3 linked regions of the Neodiprion lecontei genome follow. The main gene of each other region encodes a partner of the protein of the gene in region 3 in a complex. Links are inferred from orthologs where the notes say so. Each region holds a gene or a part of one and is shown on either strand. Other genes may lie near its edges.

Region 1 (4,775 bases), on a different chromosome or scaffold from region 3:
TCATCACTTAAGTCAAAGCGAATGAACAAAATTTCAATGAAGTCTAGAGAGCGAAAGAAATCTCCTAAAAATACCGAAATCAGCTCAAGACTTAGTAGTAACGATAATCCGATTGAGAAAAAAGAATCTATGTCACCAATTAAAACTAAGAGGGAAGAAAGGGCAGAAAAAAGAGAAGCTCAGGATATTTCAAGATCAAAACGAACTAAAGTCGCCTATAAGAACACAGTCAAATCAAGTAAAATACTGGATTCGGAGAATACGGATAATGCAACGCAGTCACAGACTGACGATACTAGCCAAGACGAAAATTCAATACCGGATTGTGGCAAGGTTCACGATATTGAAGAAGAAAGTAAAATGAGTGAGTATCTGCATTTCTCGTATGTCCCGTAACTGTTTTTTTTCAATGAGAATATGTAATTTAAACAGGTACAAACGAATATGAGACTGAGGAAACTGTGAGGCTTGAGAAGATGGAAGTTTCAAGCGATTCAGGCAATGAACCTGAACATGAAATCCGGAACGCTGTCGATATTAGGCCATGGACAAGACAAGAAGATGCAGTTTTACTAGAATGTATCAAGAAGGAATATTCAGAAAATACTTTTTTAACAATCAGTGAGACTCTGGGAGATCGAACTGTTCAACAGGTACGTACATCAGCAAATTAATTGAATGAAATTTTTCTTTCTGTGCAATTGAAGTGATGATACATCAAACTTTTTACACAGGTTAAAGAACGGTTCGAGATTCTTCTTTCATTGTTAGAGAAAATGGCCTGACGCGAAAAATCAGATGGACTGTATGAGAAGTTGAAAGAAAATTAAGTATACCAGTGTTACAGCTATGTAATACTCGCGTATCAAGGGATCAAGATTTCCAACAATAAATAACGCCGCTCAGCTTGCTAACCTGCAAACTTTATATTATATCAACAGTATCCTTATATTCTCAGGAGTGTCTATTATCAAACTCACGAGACGTGATTAGAACTGTACGCTTATCGAAAGTTTGATTAATACGCGACGTTATTTTTACTTTCTATTTTCTTGTTTATTGATTCAAAATATAATTTATGTACATAAAAAATATTAAACAATTCTTAGATGTTAATTTTATTTAAGAAACCCAAAAATTTCTCTCTGCGAACCTAACTCGTCCTCCTCCTTCAATGCATTCATAATTCCTGCATTCAACTTAATTCCAATGTCTTTTGCGAGCTGAAAGATTAAATCATTCAAGACACTTATAAATGATCGCGCTAAAAACGAATAGACATTGATTTGAAATCTCATACCTCTAATGTTTTAACCAATGTCGAGGGTTGAAGACTGCCATATCCCGTCTTCACCACAGATGTTATACGACCATTGGGCATTACGGCGACAACTATACTTGCTGCACTACACTCTTCCTCCTCTGAAGTTGGATCAACTACACAATTTTCTCCTATCTGTATAAAAGTAAAATTCTGACTAGCTACCAGATTACCCCATATTACAAGAACTTAAAAAAAAAAAAAAATAAAACAAATATACTGCTATGAAATTGAAGCTTGGAAAGAATATTTAAGCTATTTTATGGAATTCGTGAAACTGGTAGAACTCACAAATCACTTTAGGAGTTCTTTAATAAGCAATGCCCTCAACGAATCTATTTGAAAGTCTGAACACTGCGCTTAGTTCCTTGCCCAAAATTCCTGGGGCACATCATACAACAGGAAACTAAAATTTGGTCATGGTAAATCTATTTATATCATACATTGCATATGATTACTTGCAACTTACTTTGCAAAGGGTAACCAGAACAGGAAAACTACCAACATCCAGCTTAACACAATCGAAAGGATCGTCTGATAATTGAATGTCAGCTTTACCACCGTCAAGTGTTGCAGTTGTAACTTTGGGAATTTGTGCACTGTATAATGCAGCCTTAACCGCTAATGCTACAGCATCAAATAAATTGCCATCGCATTGAAGAATCTGTGGAATGTGAGATTATTTTAAAGATTTGTTCATTCAACTGAAAAGCTTGGACTAATGAAGATTAATTTATTTGCCAAGCAATGTAGGAATAAGACAACTTTGGATACTCACTAAAACGTCAACATATAATTTCCAACACTTTTGCTGAGGTAAAATGCACAGTGTTGTTAAATCAAGAACATGAGATGACTGGTAAGCTAACGTTAGAGTATTGCTTATTTCTGTACCTAAATTGTCACCTCCTTTCCCTTCAAATGCCGGTGTAGCATTGGCGGAACTGAAAATTGGAATACAGTTGACATAAGAAATGCGAATCTGGATGATAAAAAACAGTTTATGTCTGATTACGAACCAGTCAACAAAGAATTCCAATTTTCCTTCATTAGGGTTGTCGGGATAGGGTGTGTCAACCTCAGCTTTAACACCGACTAGAATATCAGTATTTGCTAGTCGTAAACGAGCCGAACCACTAGTATGAGGTAAGACTTTTGTTTCCACTTCCATTGGGCGATATTCAGATCTATTTCTGCCATCGGTTCGGTAGTTATCCTAGGAATAATATGCAAGATTTAAGGTTTTCTCACCAAAATTCAAAAGTGTGATCAAAAGTGCCGTGATTCTTTGAATCAAAGTAATGTTCCATCACGTACAAATCGAAAGGGGTGGCATCGTTCGAATAGAGAATGACGATCGAAGCAACAATTAAATTCGAAAGTACTAATAGAAAGAGTCAACTCACATCCACTCCGTGCACTATAAATGTTTTTTCAGCTAAGCTCAACAATGTGTTCGCCATTCTAATTGGGACAGTACTCGAGATGAGACATATGCGGTCGCTGATTAATTCTCTATTAAAAAACCTGCTTCAGTATCTTTCAAAAGAAGCAGCTTTATAACCTAAAAATACGCGAGTACGCCAAAACACGTTGTCAACGGATAATTACTGGTGAGCAGCGGGGAGGGAGGGACGATGTTTGTCAATCAATCGAGATCGTTGATCGATTCTTTTTTCTCAATAATCGTTTATTTTCGCCAGATGTTTTTCAGCTTCGATTAATCGATATTCGATGCTATTTCTCAGACATGTTACAAAGGGTGAAATCACCCGTCTTACCCCCTTTTCTAATGAACTAGTAGTCATCGCAGATAAAAGAAGTTTGTAAACGTCTTGTGTCTGGACATGAATAAGGTTGCTGCGTCAACCAGCATTCTTGCAAAAACAGTCTTGATTCAGATTTTAAACGAATAACACCGCATCTTGCAACAAAACATAATTTTCTCAACATTTTAATTTTCGCCACTTATTTGCCACACAAGCTCAAGTACCCACATTTTATTACGTAATTCCAACGAGAGTTACAATATTAACATTGCCGCCGACGCAAACGCCAGCAAAACGACACCAAGATAACGCAAAAATTCAGTTTCAAGTACGTTACTTCGCAAGTAGTTTTAATCGCTGTAGAGATCACCAGTTGTATAACAGTGTTTACTGGATATGAGTGATCGGAAGAGTGAAATTAATTATTTCATTTGGTTGGTTACATAGCTTTAAGAATCTGCATATTTCTTTAAATGTTGATACATATTTTGAGGAAACGTATTTTTAATCTGCATGGCGATGATGATAACTAAGCAGTATACGAAGATATTAATAGGTAGATGGGATGTAATGGCTAAGGAGTGAATTCGTGTGAAAAATATTACAGATGCATTAAACTGAAACATAACTATTATACATATATTAATTATTAACATAATATACAAAACGGTACACTAATAAAAGTTACACGTTCGTACACAATAAACGTTACACCTGCAGGTTTATATGTATATATGTTATGAAGTCAAGTGTCTTAGTCCGAAATAGCGCAAATAAATATGTACAAATAAAAAGACGAATATCAATATGTAATACTAAAGCTTAATACAACATTCATAACAATGTACAAAGCCATAATTCAAATTTTCCGAAGCTGTTTCAATTTTCACGTTTTTTTCCAAATGGTTATCATTGTGATTATTTGTTATCAGTATAGTACCATTATTTCGGAATGATAATCATTGCCTTCAAATAGATAAATGCTTAATGTTTTTTCAATGAGATTCGACGAATCAAGTTTTCGAATACGATTTCCTGGGTAACATAATTCTTTGACTATAACAATGCATGATCATAATTGCTTTAATAAAACTAGCAACCAAATCGTCCGAAGGTAAATGTGTATTATTAAAAGAAAGTTTTAATACTGAAATATGTAAGAAGTTCTTGCATTTTTACATCTCAACCACTTCTAAAAATCGGCAAATGATGAAAAATAGCAAAATAACAGTTTGGCATAGCAGGTAATTATTGTGACGAAATGACGAACATATTTACATTACGATGTAGGTATATCTTGAAAATAATACAAGCACTTTACAAGAGCTTAACGCTTCAAGGTGCGAAAAACAGTACAAAATTGTTTTCTAGAACGGAGAGATGAAACAGGAGCAAGACTTATTATAGGTATGTAGCAAGACGTATGACACTAAGTCACTACGGTTCTTAAGAATTAAATATGTAGGTATGGTTCAGTTGAGGTGAAAAATGATTCAACAAATCAGAATATCTACTGATACAGCGTGAATGTTTGATTACGAAAATCTTACCGCGTGTTATCGCAGAGATGTGTAGAACCAAGTTGTTGTCAAATTGAATTGGGATAAACATTGTATTTGAGTGTGAAAATCGAATCTAATTCTAATCTAAATGGCACGGTTTTATTTGTCACACTATATGAGCGA
Region 2 (5,053 bases), on a different chromosome or scaffold from region 3:
TTTTATCGTAGCACAATGTTCAACAGATGAATCAAAGGCAAAATCTTATATTTATATATTTTCAAGCTAAACTTGCTCGTACCAATGACTCGTTCCAAAGTAGCAACCTAGCAGAAGGAAACTCCGTAACTCCGTAATTAGATTCTGCAGAAGTGTCAGTAACCACTGCGAATGCTAACTCTTTGTTAGGATCTCTTTCTAGTGATTTAATTGCCGTTTTGTAAAAGACATTGTATCCCGGTGAGTTTTTCAGTCCGATAAAATTAAAGTAACCTATCACCACGGCCTAGAACATAAGGTTTTGTGATAATTTCACATATATGTGGAGATAACTTAAGTGATAATAACAATAAACATGTAGAGGTCGCAACCCAGATTGAACAGAAAGAGAGAGAGAGAGAGAGAGAGGGACAGAGGGAGAAACGTAATCAAACCTACGTCATAGTCTACAATCAGGTTCAGGAGCTGATTTCTGTCTGTTATTCTGAATATTGGGTTCATAAATGCGTGGAGGAAGCGTATCATGTACGGTGCAGTACGAATACCTCTGTACTGAACACCAGGTCCTCGCCTAGGATAGAGCATAAAAACTGGGTAGCTCTGAATCTTGCTGTATTCAGCCCGGCATTCTGAACCCGGGTGCCAGCAATTAATGGCTGCAAAAAATATCTGAAAATTAACAAATTAAAGTTAGTGTGGTTTCCACAAGTTTTTGTAGTAATGTCAAAGGCAAGAAGCAATAATTGAATAACGATTTATGTATAGAACTTAGTAAATGAATTAATGAGAACCTGTTTGTGGTAAAAACGTGCCACAGTTTCAAACTCTTGTCTAACGGCTTGACTCTCGGCATCCCATGGTGCGTAGTACATAACAAAACTGAGATCTGCATCTGTGACTCTTTCAATAGCGGCGCCTAAATGACCTTTGTAAAAATCCAAAACAAGCGAGCTTTGGTTAAAGAATGGCCGAGCTGAAGGAGGTTGTGACACTTTTGGTGGCCTGTAAATACATTCAAAGTTGAGAATTCGCTATTAAACTAGTTGTTTATCAGATACGTTATACATGTATTTAATCAACTAAAAAAATCTATGAGAGATCATGTTTTACAATTAAATGCAGTCAAGGTTTCATTTGATGTTTTTGAAAGTAATATTTGAGAATTTTACCGGTTTTTATTGAACATTGATTTCTATAGTTTGACTCCGCTTGCAAGTAACGATATTTGACACTTCCTAAATTTGATTCGGATCATACATATTCAAAAATATCAGTAATAGAACGCCGTTGTAAAATAGTGTTGTTAAAGAATATCCAAAGGTAAAATGAATGTTGAAAAATAATTTCTTCTACAATGTAATTCATGATATTGGCATTTGATTTTTTTTACAATATGCTAGATGATTAAAAAACGTAGAATTATTGAGGTGAGTTGGCGGATAACCTTAACTATTTTTAAAAAACTTACGAAGTGTGAAGAGCAGCTAAGGTGGTGAATAATATTGCAGCAAAGAAACATAATTCTTTGCCATAGTGTAACATTTTCGAGGCTAATCGTTCTTCTAGTGCGGAGCTCGTTGCGAGTGATGTTTGGACCACGTTATCACTTCCTGAATCATTGGTCGGCCGCAAATTATCACCATTTCTTTGCGGACTTGTGTCGCGTTCTCCACTGGTCATTATCCTCGAAATTAAGGAAATAACGAAGGTCCGACGGGGGGATGATTGCCGTCAAATTTTCGTCACGTATCGCGTCATCACTCGGGCCTACTTATCTTTTCATGGGGATTATATTAACTGAATTACAAACGATTAATAAACTCGCGCCCCAAGGTCCACACATATGTCACCTGTGCTCCATCTTTTTCTCCCCGGTGAACAGCTGACCGCTTAAATCCACTCGTCTTAAACGACATTAGTGTACAAGTATCGAAATTTCATCTCCAATTAAATTGAACTTATAGAATGTCCTTATACATTTTCAGGGTTATTACAATACGTCTGCTTCCGAATCGCACGTGGCTTATTTTTTATAAATAACGTTTTGACTTGAATCGGCTGCTAAACTGTCATGGAATTTTTTGATACTCTGCAGTTGGCACCCTGCACATCTTTCCGCTATATCTAGGGATATCCTGACGTGGACCAATGAAAAGCCGCGACGCCGAGTTTCTGGATATCCCCATGTCGTACATCTCATGAGCTTTAACTCTGGCGTCGATGCAACGCGTGTCTTCCATTTGTCTGCTCCTAACCTAGTTCAAATTGGAGCGGCGAAGATAGAAAACGAATTGAAATGCAAAACCAATTGGAAACTACGGAGGAAGAGGAGTGCGTTTTGAGACCGATGAACTGTGAATTAAATCAGCTGAGCAGACCGGATGGTTCGGCAATGTTTATGCAAGGTAACTAATTCGTGTGAACGGTCGTTTGTTTTCATAGCGTGAGTTCCCATTTATTTTGTTTATTTTTTATGTTAGCTATCATCACATAAACATCCAGATTTTACATACCTAGTTTCCTAGATTCACATATTCCAATTTTTCAAATTTATTGCACGGCTCTTTTGTGGTATCTAATATGTACATACCATAATTCTGAACTGATGGTGTTTTCAAATGATCGATTCCAGGTGACACCGTCGTTGTTGCCGGAGTTTATGGACCAATTGAAGCGAAGCTACAAAAGATGATGCACGACAGAGCGACCGTTGAAACAATGTTTAGTCCTGCAAAAGGACCACCGTGTAAGTATTTCTTGACTGCCGACAATCCTGATATTTTGATTATAGCTCTTTAACAGATTATTTCGCTTGTTACGTGATTTAACATTTTGATAATTATTCTGTATTTTAAGGTGTCGACGACAGAGCGAAGGAAACTGTCATCAGGGAAACGTGCGAGGCTGTACTGCTGACTGCGTTGCACCCTGGCATGGCAATAAGCATAAATGTACAAGAACTGCAGGATTCTGGAGGAGTTGGTATTTTTATTGATTAAGTGTTGTACAATACAATTCTATCACTTCACTTTATCGGTTCATTACAAAACAATCGATTCCACTTTACTTCCACTTTTCGTTGTGTCTTTTATTAAAAGAGATAATACTCACGTGTTACGTACAATTTTGCAGTTACTCGCCTGTGCCATTAATGCTGCTTGCCTGGCGCTCATAATCTCCAGTATTTCTATGAAATTCACTGTCGCTGCTGTATCCTGCATGATTGACCGCGAGTCCGGCAAACTGATTGTAGATCCTGATAGCACGCAAATACAGGTTTCTAAAACTTATATTTATATATTTGAAATATTTCAAGTAAAATTCATATTCTTTCACACATTTATAAGTATTAAATGCTATTGGTATTTTCTTTTTTTGCCCAGTTTGAACTATTTGGAAATAATCTAACTTTCTACAACTAGAACCTTAGGTTGAATTTTCAAGTAAAGCCTTAATCGCTAATTTTGATCAAATTGTTTTTGTGCTCTGTCAACAAATTTTAAGGAGAGACGAGAAAGATCACAACTTTCTTCATGTATTGTCCTTTATATGTTTCTAAATGTTAATCAGAGCAGAAATGACAAACCAGCGAATTTTGTCTAATTTTACTTTCTGAGTCTCAGAACACCTAGTTGAGTCAATTTCGTAATTCAAAAGTGTGGTATTTGTTTTAAATATTACCTTCATGTATAAATATTTCCTTTAATCCGAACTTTATGGAGTTATAATTTTGAAGTATGAGCATTAGTTTTGAAGGACGCTGGGCCTAAAACAACAAAAAATGACGTATTATTATTGTTACTTTGTTTCAATTCCTTTCAATTACTTATCATACGTAATTCTAATATATTTGATAATAATTGAAAATTGCAGCAGGCACGGGTCACGTTCACGTATGTTTTCGAGGGTATAAAAAAGGACTTGGTGTCTTGCCACACAACTGGTCGATTCTCGGAGAACGAGCTGATGGAATCTCTAGAAAAGTGTCGAGCAGCAAGCCAGAACATCTTCGATTTTTATAGAAACATAGTTGAACAATACGCGATTAAATTATGAGCATATTTGCATGCGATAAATTTATCGACGTCGAATTCGCACCCGTAAATTGCTGAAAAATCCAATGATTCAATTCTATAACTAGCACTTTACGTATATTTCCGAGCAGTGGGAGATCGATTGTATGTATATAAAAATAATTAGGCGGTGGTATACTCGATCCGTTTCGAGCTGAGGAATTTAATAACACCGGTTAAAACGGCCTCCGCGGTGCAGGTGATTCGGTACAGCGAAATAGCGATCGTAACTTTGATTCCATTAAATACAATAAGGCTACCAGGAATACTGACTGAACTACGTTTAGCCGCGAGGTTTCCCCCCGGGGGCCCGAAGCTGCGGCGCAGTCTTGCTGACCATTAACAAGAAGCGAAGCAATTTATGGTACGGTTCGCTCATTCCCACTTTATTATTTCTCGTCGTAGCTGAGTAGATGTTTCTCTGCTGCAGTCGCCGGTTTCGTTTTGCTTACCGAACAGCCAGATACAGCGTCAGCTTACAGACATCCTGGCGAGATGCTTCGCATCGAAATTCTGCAAACCTTTCTCATCTTGAGGCTTCCTCATTAACGTGATTTGAATGTGTGTATATATATATATACATTTATTTTAAGCCTGAAGATAATTGATGACGTTCATGTGCGTCGATGTCATATATTTCATAATAAACTGTTTTTCACTTTAACAATGAGATTCCCTTTGTTCCACTACGTTAAATGGCATTTTGAATTTCAGGGTTTCGTAAAATATTTTAACGCAAAATTGCATCTTGGACTGACAAGACTCTGACTTGATATAGTTAAGAAATGAGCTTTCATCGGTTTTTTTTTTATCTTCCGCGAGAAATAATTATCATTATTCTTTTAACGTCTTCAAGATTCCAAGCATCTTCTTACCATTTTCTAAAAGCGCATTTTTAATAATTCTCTTCATGACGTTCTCCATGACGTCAGGCGGTCTCTGACAAATGGGAGACAAGGGATAGTTGCGAGCACTTTGAA
Region 3 (5,053 bases):
AAGTTACAGCCAAAAAACGAGAACCTGTATTTTTGACACTTTTCAGCAGGTGCTTTTTCCTCCGTAGTTTTTCTCCTGTTGGTTCCACGCTCTTTTCGCTGCGTTTTCTGGGTTCTTGGGGGTCCAATTGGTCGGGAAAGGGTCATACAAATCAGTTCCAAGACAAAAAATTTTTCGGTCAAAAAAAAAAGGAAGGTTAACCCCTTTGTATTTTTGGCGAAAAGTTTCGCGATTTTGAAAAGTGCTGGAATAAATTCTTTCAGACACTAATCCGACGTAATTTTGCGAGAGAAATCGATTGAGCGCAGTCCCAGGACGCTGCGATTAACGCATCAGAAGTTACGGCCAAAAAAGAAAGAACCCGTATTTTTGACACTTTTCAGCAGGTGCTTTTTCCTCCGTAGTTTCTCTCCTGTTGGTCCCACGCTCTTTTCGCTGCGTTTTCTGAGTTTCTGGTGGTCCAATTGGTCGGGAAAGGGTCATACAAATCAATTCCAAGACGAAAAATTTTTCGGTAAAAAAAAAAGGAAGGTTAACCCCTTTGTATTTTTGGCGAAAATTATCGCGATTTTGAAAAGTGCTGGAATAAATTCTTTCTGACACTAATCCGACGTAATTTTGCGAGAGAAATCGATTGAGCGCAGTCCCAGGACGCTGCGATCAACGCATCAGAAGTTACAGCCAAAAAACGAGAACCTGTATTTTTGACACTTTTCAGCAGGTGCTTTTTCCTCCGTAGTTTTTCTCCTGTTGGTTCCACGCTCTTTTCGCTGCGTTTTCTGGGTTCTTGGGGGTCCAATTGGTCGGGAAAGGGTCATACAAATCAGTTCCAAGACGGAAAATTTTTCGGTCAAAAAAAAAGGAAGGTTAACCCCTTTGTATTTTTGGCGAAAAGTTTCGCGATTTTGAAAAGTGCTGGAATAAATTCTTTCTGACACTAATCCGACGTAATTTTGCGAGAGAAATCGATTGAGCGCAGTCCCAGGACGCTGCGATCAACGCATCAGAAGTTACAGCCAAAAAACGAGAACCTGTATTTTTGACACTTTTCAGCAGGTGCTTTTTCCTCCGTATTTTCTCTCCTGTTGGTCCCACGCTCTTTTCGCTGCGTTTTCTGAGTTCCTGGTGGTCCAATTGGTCGGGAAAGGGTCATACAAATCAATTCCAAGACGAAAAATTTTTCGGTCAAAAAACGAGGAAAAAAGTAAGGCTAACCCTTTTGTATATTTGATGATAATATTGCCGATTCCAACAAATGGTGAAATCAATTTTTTTGAGCACGACGTCTGTGTCATTTTGCGCGAAGAACAGATTGAGCGCAGTCCGAACAGGTTATGTTAAGCTAGTTAGGTCTGGTACGCAAGGCTCATACTCAACTCTGTCAGGCACGTTTCTACCCATAGTTTCACCGGCCACCCGTGAGATTACATTGATAGATCAGGTTAGAATAGTAAACATAGCCTCTAAATTACTCTCAAAGGCGACACAGACGAGGCTCCCACGCTTATACCATTACCTCTTGCAGTCAGAATGGAAGTAAATATTAAGGATGTTGTGGTTCCTGGCGATGTCGCGGTAGAAATAATGAAATCAAGTGAAAAAGAGCGAGTGATTCTTGGTCCTGGACTGCGTCGCGACTGCGACCGCGTCCTTGTCACCAAAGCTGGTGTACTGAAGAGGCGAAAACCAGCTATATTTTACGTGGATAGCTATCAGAAAAGGTTAATAATATGAAATGTTCTATGTATTGGTCTGTCCAACTCAGCAATAACGTAAGCTGATGCATGTTTATCATATCATTTGATCAATAAATAATATTCTTGCCTGATTCAAGGACTTTTCTTCGTTGCTGTTCCTTTTCGCTTCGATATCGATTAACTGATATTTTTAGAATAATTGTATTTCGAGCCTGTTTACCTTTTACTTATCAACATTATGCTTCTTTGCGGAAACATCTCTTTCGATATGTTCTAAATAACAATTTATTTATTTCATTACAGGTACGTCCCGAACAGAGGGGAGAATGTTGTTGGAATAGTGACGCAGAAGGCTGGGGATATTTACAGAGTTGACATCGGGGCAGGGGAACTGGCATCTCTATCCTACTTGGCTTTTGAAGGAGCAACAAAAAAGAATCGACCTGACATTGTCGTAGGTGACGTGATTTTTGCCAAGCTACTGGTGGCTAGCAAAGGCATGGAACCGGAGTTGATATGCGTCGATTCTCATGGGAAGAAGGGCAAGTTAGGTGTCTTAAGTCCAGATGGGATGCTGTTTGATTGTTCCCTTAGTTTGGCGAGGAAATTGCTTCACCCAAGTTGTCAGCTGTTGACATTGCTTGCCAAAGAACAGGCCTACGAAATCGCCATAGGTATGAATGGAAAGATCTGGATGAAGGCCAGATCAGTCCACGAGACAATAGCGGCTTGCAATGCTATTTTAGCTGCGGAAAACACCCCACCAGCAGAAATGCCAGCCTTGTGTTCGAGTATCGCCCGTAATTTACTCCGAATAAGCTAAGAAAAAGACTAATTCCACAACCCTTGGTGTACATCCAGATATTTTAAGTATTTTATGAAACATGCTTTTTTTTGCAATAAAATCTTCCTTCGATATGAGTGATAATCTACTTAGATTTATTGAAAGCAATAGAGCACACAACAGTCGGCAAAAGATAGTGAGAAAGAATACTCTGTAAGTTAGAATGTAGTTTTTGGAGACAATTTTTTATTAAAGAATATAATACTTTAATACCATCATCGTTTGAGAAGATGAAGACAAAGGACGTAAACAAGGAAAGTAGATGGGCAGGGTACAATATTGAGTGGTTACTATTTTAAAATTAATTATTATTCATCACGTCTATTTGGTTGCAAGTCGTATGTGTGTGCTCTAATTTCTACACGTATTCCAAGTGTTCCTACTCATATTATAACAGTACTATCCTACTTAGTATCCTAGTATACTTCGTTTCACACCCCATTCATTGTTAAGCTACAGAAATTATGATCTCCATACACAAGTGTAATCAATATTTTTCAATTTCACAAATTTTATTGGTAATTTGCTATTAATTTACTGTATATAGTAATATTACGTTAATAATGCACGTCAAGAAGTTTGTCCAGCATTGAAAAAAAGTTGACGTTACAAATTCCAACAAACTTTCCACCGAAATTGAGAAATTAAATCTTGGTAAGAACGCGAAGAATTTAACGTCAAAAATCATTTGAGTAACAGCAGCCAGTCCAACGTTACGCTTGACCATAGATCAAAACGTTATTGGTAAAGAATATTATTATATTACCGCAATTTTCTAATTCAAATTAGTATAATCATAACGATTTCTCATTGCTGGGCAATTAATTGTAATCAAAGTATATGTATACTGGGTTCTTAAAATTTTGTTCAATTTTTTAGTGTGATGAAATAGATAATTTGAGTACAGTAGTCACAATAGGGTATAAGGTAGATTAATGGTTAATATTCAATGTGTAGTAGAATAGTATAGCATAGCAATAGTATATTATACGTGTATGTATATAAATAAAGTAATAGCGTTACGTAAATAGTAGAGCCAGGTCAACTTCAGAACTTCTCGAGCTTAGGTTTTGGATGAAGACTTGCGTTTGGACAATAATCGATGTTCCAGAAGAAACTGTCAAGCTAATTACAGGGTGAAGGATTTTAGAAGTGTATATATGGTATAGTCATTAACGTCCGTTAATGATGATCGATCAACGATCAAGCTCTAGATAATATTTACTTATTCAACGAGGCTACTGTATCTTGCATGCAATTTATTCTATCAATTGATAACATGTTTTGCATCCGCGACAAAAATATGAAGATAGAAAATCACGTCGAACAAGCGATATGTTGTAAAGAATTTGATTCAATCTGGTATTAACTGAAGTCAAAACTGGCTCTAATAATTATCATTTCATAATTTTATCATCAAGCTCAAGAGGCCTCAACAAGAGACTCTGAAACCTTACTTCACGTTTCAAATAACTGTCAGGCGGAAACTCTTCCCGCAAAACGGACTGAAATGAATGAAATTTTTCTCAGGAGTGCATTAAGATAATCGTGGTCTGTATATCCAATAATATATTGTATCACGGCGTGATAAATTTATTCAAAGCTTGATCGCAAAAATATCGAAAGCAGTCAAAGGGCTTTACATTTCGTTACTTGACCGATAGACCTATTTATTGCGCCACTAATCTGGAACTTACAATTTAGCGAACCAATCGAGTCTGCTTGTCTCTTGAAACATTTTTTTCTTACAACAATATCATTGTACACGATAAATTTCTCTATTTTCTTATGGCATACGATACCTCTTCAGAAGCCTCTTAAAGCCGTTTGTAGCCCTTTAATTTGAATACTTTATTACTGTTAAACAATATTATTACAATTACTAATTTATTATACTTTATTATAAATTAATTAAGGATCTCTTAATCGTATATGCTTATGTGTTTTTATAATAGTATGTACGATAGCTTTTCAGCAGCTTACTTCTGTGCCATCCCCATATGGAACTGGACTTTTGTTAAGTTTCAGTAATTTCAGAAACTGGGTGACTAGCGGCATTCCCAAACCTTTACCGTCTGATCCACGCTACCGCTTACCACGTATGGATGGCTCTTGTGAAAATCTACAATACAAAAGATGATGTATATCATGCCTCCATTCTCATAGCGGCTGAAGGGCTAGCCCACTTATTGCAATATTCCCTCGAGTATTTAATTAAAAAGCGGAGAAAACCAAAAAACTCACCAACAGACGTGCAGAAGTGCATGTGTGCCTCAAGCGTCTTCATTGACCGTTTGTTGCGGGTGTCCCATACCCGCAGCGTCTTATCGTCTGATGCACTGACTATATATTTACCACCTGGGTGGAACACTATTCCACGTACCCAGTTATCATGCCCTTGGAGAGTGAATAGACATACCCCAGCCCCAACGTCCCACACGCGTATTGTCTTGTCTCGGGATCCAGATGCCAGGAAGGGTCCCTCGTGTGCCCCTTTATTGTCTGCTCCAGC

Evidence for each region. Proteins that work in one complex are often made in the same cells at the same time.
Region 1: exosome complex component RRP40 (region 3) and exosome complex component RRP42 share a complex: the UniProt entries of both Homo sapiens proteins name them as parts of the RNA exosome core complex. The link is inferred for Neodiprion lecontei from reciprocal best matches to the Homo sapiens genes EXOSC3 and EXOSC7.
Region 2: exosome complex component RRP40 (region 3) and exosome complex component RRP46 share a complex: the UniProt entries of both Homo sapiens proteins name them as parts of the RNA exosome core complex. The link is inferred for Neodiprion lecontei from reciprocal best matches to the Homo sapiens genes EXOSC3 and EXOSC5.

What each region holds. Positions count from the first base shown.
Region 1 is NC_060263.1:34,933,494-34,938,268, reverse strand, and holds exosome complex component RRP42, read right to left. Parts: upstream 2,927-4,775; 5' UTR 2,785-2,926; coding exon 2,728-2,784; exon of another isoform or gene 2,639-2,727; intron 2,538-2,638; coding exon 2,341-2,537; intron 2,266-2,340; coding exon 2,100-2,265; intron 1,986-2,099; coding exon 1,791-1,985; intron 1,475-1,790; coding exon 1,301-1,474; intron 1,224-1,300; coding exon 1,119-1,223; 3' UTR 1,049-1,118; downstream 1-1,048. Other genes in the region: GON-4-like protein, read left to right, coding at 1-364, 433-653, 735-785. UniProt on the Homo sapiens protein: Non-catalytic component of the RNA exosome complex which has 3'->5' exoribonuclease activity and participates in a multitude of cellular RNA processing and degradation events.
Region 2 is NC_060261.1:41,971,166-41,976,218, forward strand, and holds exosome complex component RRP46, read left to right. Parts: upstream 1-2,114; 5' UTR 2,115-2,296; coding exon 2,297-2,405; intron 2,406-2,632; coding exon 2,633-2,746; intron 2,747-2,856; coding exon 2,857-2,978; intron 2,979-3,132; coding exon 3,133-3,276; intron 3,277-3,873; coding exon 3,874-4,056; 3' UTR 4,057-4,737; downstream 4,738-5,053. Other genes in the region: thioredoxin domain-containing protein 11, read right to left, coding at 83-286, 439-669, 792-1,002, 1,469-1,680. UniProt on the Homo sapiens protein: Non-catalytic component of the RNA exosome complex which has 3'->5' exoribonuclease activity and participates in a multitude of cellular RNA processing and degradation events.
Region 3 is NC_060264.1:3,212,560-3,217,612, forward strand, and holds exosome complex component RRP40, read left to right. Parts: upstream 1-1,167; 5' UTR 1,168-1,204; intron 1,205-1,260; exon of another isoform or gene 1,261-1,525; 5' UTR 1,526-1,530; coding exon 1,531-1,721; intron 1,722-2,000; coding exon 2,001-2,520; 3' UTR 2,521-4,143; downstream 4,144-5,053. Other genes in the region: lissencephaly-1 homolog, read right to left, coding at 4,590-4,663, 4,786-5,053. UniProt on the Homo sapiens protein: Non-catalytic component of the RNA exosome complex which has 3'->5' exoribonuclease activity and participates in a multitude of cellular RNA processing and degradation events.